2 linked regions of the Macaca fascicularis genome follow. The protein of the gene in region 2 purifies or fractionates together with the protein of the main gene of each other region. This does not show direct contact. Links are inferred from orthologs where the notes say so. Each region holds a gene or a part of one and is shown on either strand. Other genes may lie near its edges.

Region 1 (3,516 bases), on a different chromosome or scaffold from region 2:
TTTCATGTGGACACTCAGTCCCTGCAGTCCTTGGCAGTTTTTTCTGGGAATGTTTGGAGAACATTTTTTGGGAACCCATCATGTTCCCAGCTGTCCCACGGAGGCCGTCATCTCTTCCTCTCCTCCAGAAGCCAGCCCTCTGAACACCCTGTTACATTGCCCTCAAGTGTGACTGTACCAGAAGCAAAGCCTCAGCAGAGCAGAGCCAGGCAGATGGGGAGGACGGGCCTGGTCACGAGGCAGGGAGGGGACGGGTGGTGCTGTGTGCAGGGCAGGGGCTGTGGACGGTGAGCTGAGCCCGCTCACCTGGCTGTACATTTTCCTACGCCACCCAGCACCTCACGTCCAGGCACAGAGTCCTCGGAGACTGGGCTTCTCCAGAGCGGGGGTCTTTCCAGCTCGCCTGAGATCAGGTGCTTCCCATTGTTCTTGCTGTCTGGGGTGTGGTGATGCCTTGTCAGTCAGCATGTGACCCTTGGGTTTTTTCTGTTGCAGGCAGATTTGGAGTCACTTCTGCAGACACCGGGTGGGAAGCCTCGTGGCTTCGGTGAAGCGGCTGCCCTGCGAGCCTTTGGCCTCCACTGTCGGCTGAGCATCCATCTTCAACACAAGGTGCGCCTGTTCCTGGCCCTCTGCTAGGATGAGATGCAGCGATCTTTTTGTTACTGATTTATCTTCTTGTTTTTGGACAGTTCTGCTCAGAAGGAAAAGTGTATTTGTCCATTTTGGAAGACACTGGCTTTTGGTTAGAAAGCAAAATTTTATCTTTTATTCAAGATCAAGAAGAAGACTATCTGAAGCTTCATAGGGTCATTTATCAGCAAATTATCCAGGTTAGAGGTCTGAAGACACAGAAACCTTTCTCTTTACCAAGTTTGTTATGTTTCAGTGTTTCATTTTCTACTTTAGAGTGGTGATTTTAGACATGAGTGTTATTCTTAAAAACTTACAGTAACATTTATCTAGCTTTCTAGAGTTTATCTTTTCGCAAAGCATAAACTTCATACTTCTAGTGTAATTTTACACATTACATGTAACAGCTGTTCAGTTATGTTTGTGGAATTACATAAAATATGTCTCTAGATTTATTATGAAAACAGCAAGAATTAATGTATCTTTATGAAAATTCCTTTATAAAACATCTTTGTAAAAATCTGCTTTGTAAGATAACTAGCACATGGATAGGAGAAGCTTTGTGAGGCTGGATTTACTCCCTTTTTTTAAATGGCCTTTGTTGCTAAGTTGTGTCTGTCTCTTACAGACCTACCTGACTGTGTGTAAAGATGTTGTTATGGTAGGCCTTGGTGACCATCAGTTTCAGATGCAACTTTTACAGCGGAGTCTTGGAATCATGCAAACAGGTACAGTCAGGGCTGTTTTAGAGCAATAAATACTCAGAACCAGTCCTTCCCTCCCTCCCTCCTTTACTGTGTTAACTCAGAACTCTCACTTTTAAGTGACTGATTATAATGCAACCTAGTATATACCAAAAAAGGGATTTTTTTGGGTGATGCAGCCAGGAAATTCAAAGGTGTTTCTGGGTCAGATATAACTGCATCCAGAGTTTGTGACAGGGTCCTTGGGATTCTGCCTCTCCTTGTGGTCAGCTTCGTTGCCAGGCCGACTTTCCCTGTGGATTGGGCTAGTGGCTATTTCCTGGCATCTGTGTGGGAAACCATCACCTTTTGGCTCTGCTCTGGCCATGTGCTCCGTGGGTGGGGGGGTGAGTCAGGAATTGTTAAGTGGTACCCCACCAGGACCCCTGAAAGTTGCTGTTACCCCAAGGAAAGGATTAGCACAGGGTAACCCATGGCAACAGTGAGTGAGAGGACAGCCTTCGAGTCACATCAGATGATGACGGGAAAGGGTGTGGGGCCAACCCAGGGGGAGTGTACCTGGGGCCATTCCATATCTCCTTGGCCTTCTGATCACAGTCTGGTAAAGAAGAGTACTGCTGAGCTGGGATCCTGGTCCCTGGCCCCTGACCCCTAGCCCCTAGCTCTTAGCCCCTACTACTTAACCCCTACTCCTTAACCCCTAACGGCCAGCCTCCCACCCCACTGCTTCTGTGGTGTAGCCGACTGCTGTGTAAACCTGTTTCTGGATGGTTTTTAAGTGAGTATCCCAATATCCCAGTGTTGCATTTGATTCTTACTGAGATCTGTAAAAGCCTCAACATTTGATGTAGACATTTCTTTAAGCCTAGTTATTTTGCTAGAAGAGATTGAAAATGATAACATTTAGTAAATTCAACATTAAGTTTTGAGAATTAGATTAAGTTGGTAGTCCAATTTCTAGTGGATCCATCTGTAGTCTCTTTCCCATAGCCTTAAATATCTTCATGGCAGATTCTAGAGGGGTCTGTGTGTGTGGATCCCCCCAGTGTATCTCTCTTTATGACGTTACAACTGAAAGTAGATGCTAGGAGAACACTGGAGCCAGGGTACTGGGCAGTGTCTTAGTTAATCTTTAATTATAAGCAAAATCATCCATCATTTGTTTAACAGCTCCAAAGCTTAATAGTAAATATCAAATAGACCAATATTATTTGCTTTAGCTTTTTTGTTTAATGTTTTTTTTTTTTTCAAGACCAAGTCTTGCTCTGTCGCCCAGGCTACAGTGGAGTGCACTGGCGTGACCTCGGCTCACTGCAACCTCCACCTCTAGGTTCAAGCAATTCTCATGCCTCAGCCTCCCGAGTAGCTCGGATTGCAGGCACCCACCACCGCGGCCAACTAATTTTTGTATTTTTAGTAGAGGTGAGGTTTCACCATCTTGGCCAGGCTTGTCTCAAACTCCCGACCTCAAGTGATCCGCCCACCTTGGCCTTTCAAAGTGCTGGGATTACAGACGTGAGCCACCATACCCAGCCTGTTTAATTCTTTATAATTCACTTCTATTGTGAAAACAGCATTTTATACTTAAGCTTAATGATTGAAACAGTCAAAATTATTTATTTTTTAAACTTCACTTATCATTTAGGAATTACTTTCCCATGAGGACCGAATCTACTTTTATTATTTATAAAATTTACTTTTTGGAGGAACTAATTATACATAGAATTCTAGATCTCCAGTGTAGCCAGTTTCATTATATAGGTATATCTGTTCTCTAAAAATAGAACAGAACGAACAACTGTTCTCTAATTCCGGTATTGAAGGAGCCACACTGCTGAACTTCTGTGTGTTCACGTGTGCAAGGAACACAATTTTTAGTTTAGTGACTAAGTCTAATAACTATTACTGTTACTGAAGGTATCAGTTTTATAAATTGGACAAATGTCATACTTACTTATTTATTTTGATTAGAATTTAGGTTAACCTGATCAGCCTGGCTTTTGGTATTGGCTCACCAAATACCAAAGTGTAATAATCTCTTTTTTGTTATCATTGTATACATGTGTTAAGTGAGAAATGTGTAATGATTTCAACAAACTTGTGTGATTAGAAAACTGATATATTCCAATTTTCTTTCTAGTGAAGGGATTTTTTTATGTTTCATTACTTCTTGACATTC
Region 2 (4,303 bases):
CTGTGGAGCCTAGGGGATGCAGGATTCAAGGCAGACAAAGATATCTGCTGAAGTAAATTAATGTTAGGTCACTACCCATGGTTGACATCACAGAAGTGGGTAAGCATATCAGAGTAAATAAATGAATCCTTTCTTAAACAAAAAACCCATAAAACTTATTTTACTCCCTTAACGAGAAATATTTTCAAAATTTAGGCCCATTCCTGGTAGATTAAGACCAGTTCAGACGACTGCATTGCCATTCCAGGGCCAAGAAAGCAACTTTAAAAACACGCCCTATGCTATGGTCTAAATATGTCCCTCAAACTTCACATTTTGAAATCCTAACCCCCAAACTGATGGTTTTGGCAAGTGGCCTCTTGGGAAGTGAGGAATGGGAAGAAAGGAAAGGCCCTTATAAGATAGGCCCAAGGGAGGGCCTCTGCCTCTCCACCATGTGAGGACAGGGTCAGAAGGTGCTATCCACTGAACAGAAAGCACTCCTTCCTAGACACACCTTGTTCTGTGACATTCCAGCCTTCAGAAATGTGAAGAATAAACCTCTGTGGTTCATAAGCTACCCAGTCTATGGTATTTTGTTATGGAAGCCCAAAAGGATCAAGCCATCCCAAAATGGCATTGTCCACACCATGTTTTTGTACCTCACCTAGAAAAACACCATACCCATTCGGAGTTAAATCCTTCCTAACTCTTTAGTATCAACGTGCTTGGAAACGTAAGTAATGCTGACACCTTTTTTCTTTCTAAAGAACAATACATACCAATTAACAGGATCGGTGAATAGTACTAGATTCTATGCATGGAGCCTAGTATGTATTTAAAAGCATGCAATCTGGAACTAGACTGGAAACAAATCCCAGCTTACTAGACAAACTGCTTAACCTTTTACTTGGACTCATTCAACTCATTTGTAAAACGAGGGCAATTTCTGATTTCACAGGGTTGCTACGAGGATTTTAAAAAGCCCCTTGGAACATAGCCTAACACTCAGAACTCAATAAATATGAACTGTCTTAAAAGGTTTCCAGAAAAAATCCCTGACAGGTTAGGTAGGCTTATCATTACAACGCTTTCCAGTGTAAGGGAGGTGAACAGCTATTTAGCACCACACAACTCCTCTGGGCTCAGAACAGCTCTCAGTAGACTACGATCCCTTCCCGACGTGAAAATTTCAGATAAAAACGCTCGGCGAAGTCCGAAGGCAGCACGGGACCGAGCCAGGACGCGGGCCAGAGTCCTCCGAAGGACTGTGCCTCTCCGACCCCACCGAAATACAGCTTTTACTTTGCAGCAATCTGAGCCAACCCAAGAAGATTCAGAGGCTTCCAAAACAGAACCGACAAGAACACTCAAAGAATGCCTCTACACCTCCTGATTCTGTCGCTTTGCGTGAAGAGTAGTAAGCCGCGGTGAGCACCGCCCAGAACTCGAGAAGGCGGAGTCTGCTGGGCGCCGAACGCTGACTAGAGGACCCGAGGAGGGGCGGGGCTGACGAAGCGCGAGGACCTGGGGACGAGGTGTGGGGCTGACCATAGCGTGCCGGACGCCGGTGTGAACATATACTACCTGCTCTTGTAGTGCCCAGGCCCGCGCCTGGGAGTCCCCGGAGCTGCCATTATCGAGACTCTGCGTCCTATTGCCCTGAAGCGTTAATCCTTCGCGTGTAGGGGAAAAATGGAATCCTAAAGACAGGCAGCTCCTAGGCACCAGCACAGGAAATAAGCAATGGAGGTGGGGTCCTTTGCTCGCGCCGAAATTCAAAGGAATAAATAGTTCCGGCGCGGGTGTTGAGAGCGGTGCGGCAGGTGTTGTATCCGCTATGGTGAAGTTCTCTTCGTAGCAGCCGCGGCTAGAGAGTTGGCCTGCTCCCCGCCTTTGTGACCCGGAGGAGCTTTTGGGGTGCGTCAAGCCCTGGCCTGAGGCAGCGGTGAGGCGTGTGCGTGAGCACGGCCGGTTGAGCCCGGCCAGACATCCTGGCGGGAGGCGGGACGCGGGAGCTATGGGGAGGAGGACCTTAGGTGATCCTTAGAAATAAAGGCTAGTTCCTATTCGGCCTTGGAGTAGGGCGAAGAGGTGTAGACAGGCCTCAAGAAGCGAAGTAACAGCCTGAGTAAAAGCAAGACGGTGGAGAATATGAGATACATCTCATCCCTAGTAAATACTTAGATGACTTCCCCTCCTCCCGGAGTCAAGCACAATTCGGGGATGCAATGATGAACGTAGGTGAAGATACTACAGGAACTTACAGACAAGTAATGACCGTCTAATACCAGTTTTAAGTACCATGAAGGAAAAAGCCGAGTGAAGAAGTGTGGAGAGGTGACACAGGGAGGTCAGGGAGGACTCCAGTAGGGTGACACATTTGAGCAAAGACGTGAGTGCAGTAGAGAGTAAGCTATGTCAGTATCAGAAAAAAGCACATTGTGGGCAAAGATAATGGGGTATGAAATAATCCGTAGTCTTTATTAGCTAGAGTATGATGAAAGTAGAAGGCAAGCCTGGAAAAACAGGTGTAAGAAATAGTTAAGACTTCCCAGTTGAATGGTTTAATTTCCAGATAGTGGCTAACTCTGTTATATTTTTGAGTAGATGAACGATGTCTTTACATCAGACAAGATAGTTTGTCAAGTGGCTGTTTTATTTCTATTACCCTATCATTACCGTTTTTGCCTAGTGTTCATTATGATTCCAGGTTTACATTCCACTTAGGTGGTGGTATTTCTGTTTCGTACAGAACTGGTTTGTGGCCTGTTTGATTCCTGTCAGAGGTTTGCTGACCCAAGACAGTATCGAAAATGCATATTAAGTCAATTATTCTAGAGGGATTCAAGTCCTATGCTCAGAGAACCGAAGTCAATGGTTTTGACCCCCTCTTCAATGCTATCACTGGCTTAAATGGTAGTGGAAAATCAAACATATTGGACTCCATCTGCTTTTTGCTGGGCATCTCCAACCTGTCTCAGGTAAAGTGTAAACTTTCTGATTTATTTGAATATAAGTGGGCAGGAGAATCCTCCCTGAACTTTGGAGACTTAACAATATTCTCTTCATTTGTGTTTTTATACTTTTTGTAAATTACACCTCACTGTCACCTTTTAAGGAAACTATTATTACTCCTTTAGATGAGAAAATAGAAACATAGAGATGTTTATGTTGGAGATGTTTATAAGTAACAATGCCTCAAAACTCAGGCTTTCTGACTGTAAAGTAGTCTCATTCCAGAGTATTTTCAACCCTGTGTAATGATGCCTTTTCAAATCCTGCTAATAGATTGAATGACTAGTGAAAATCATTGGGACTGTCTTTCCTTATATCTTGCCAAGTAACTTTTTGTTAAAAAATGAATAGGAAACAATTCAATTCAGAGTTGAAAAGGTTCTATAGAGAAGAGTGTCCATTTCAGGTTGTTACCTATTTTCCTTGCCAGAGTATGCAGCTGCCTATCCTTGTCTGCTTAGTGGACACTATGTTGGTGGGTTTTCCAACAGCAAGGAATTCATTTTTAGTGCTGCTTTGTAGGGAGTTTTGTAATTGATACACTTTTCTTCTTTTATTTTAGGTTCGAGCTTCTAATTTACAAGATTTAGTTTACAAAAATGGGCAGGCTGGTATTACCAAAGCCTCTGTGTCAATCACATTTGATAATTCTGACAAAAAGCAAAGTCCTTTAGGATTTGAGGTTCATGATGAAATCACAGTAACAAGGCAGGTGAGTGGCTATTAAACATTTCGATATCTTAAGACCTTTTATGTCTGATGTGGTTTTTGGCCCTATGCCTTTGCAAAACGTGCTAGAGAAAGTTGATGAGCAAAATTTGTGCCTTAAATTCTGACTAGATTCCTTAATATCTTCCTTACATTAAAATTTTGATCATGTACACTCTATCACTAAGAGAACTGAAAGAGAACTGAAAAGTTATTCATCCGGTATAAGCACTCAGCTATGCTGAAATCTTAAACCATACTTGAATCTTCTCTGGTTGTTCTTGAACACCTGTGTACTTGAGATCTTGCAGTCTTCTGAGATAACCCATTCTGTTTTTGGACAGGTCTTACTAGAAAGTTACCCCTATAAATTTTGTCAGAGTCTGCTGTCTTCAAATTTTATTCATTAATCCTAGTCCTCTTGAGAGCACTAAGAGCAAATCTGACTTATTCCCTACTTCAGTGTTCAAGTGATCTGCAAGCATATGTGTTTTAGTTCTAAGTGAAATCTTACCAGGTCTTTCATTGATGTTTGTTCCTAGTTCCTTCACTTGCCTGATTATACCAGGTATGCTCCAGTTTCCCTCCCTGCCCCTGC

Evidence for each region.
Region 1: the proteins of SMC2 (region 2) and NCAPG2 purify together in Homo sapiens (affinity purification with western blotting; 4 studies listed by BioGRID and IntAct, with this or other methods). This does not show direct contact. The link is inferred for Macaca fascicularis from reciprocal best matches to the Homo sapiens genes SMC2 and NCAPG2.

Annotation. Positions count from the first base shown.
Region 1 is NC_088377.1:199,917,470-199,920,985, reverse strand, and holds part of NCAPG2 (condensin-2 complex subunit G2), read left to right. Parts: intron 1-495; coding exon 496-612; intron 613-692; coding exon 693-833; intron 834-1,261; coding exon 1,262-1,361; intron 1,362-3,477; coding exon 3,478-3,516. UniProt on the Homo sapiens protein: Regulatory subunit of the condensin-2 complex, a complex which establishes mitotic chromosome architecture and is involved in physical rigidity of the chromatid axis.
Region 2 is NC_088389.1:54,029,368-54,033,670, reverse strand, and holds the start of SMC2 (structural maintenance of chromosomes protein 2), read left to right. Parts: upstream 1-1,490; 5' UTR 1,491-1,731; intron 1,732-1,759; exon of another isoform or gene 1,760-1,936; intron 1,937-2,734; 5' UTR 2,735-2,795; coding exon 2,796-2,963; intron 2,964-3,559; coding exon 3,560-3,709; intron 3,710-4,303. UniProt on the Homo sapiens protein: Central component of the condensin complex, a complex required for conversion of interphase chromatin into mitotic-like condense chromosomes.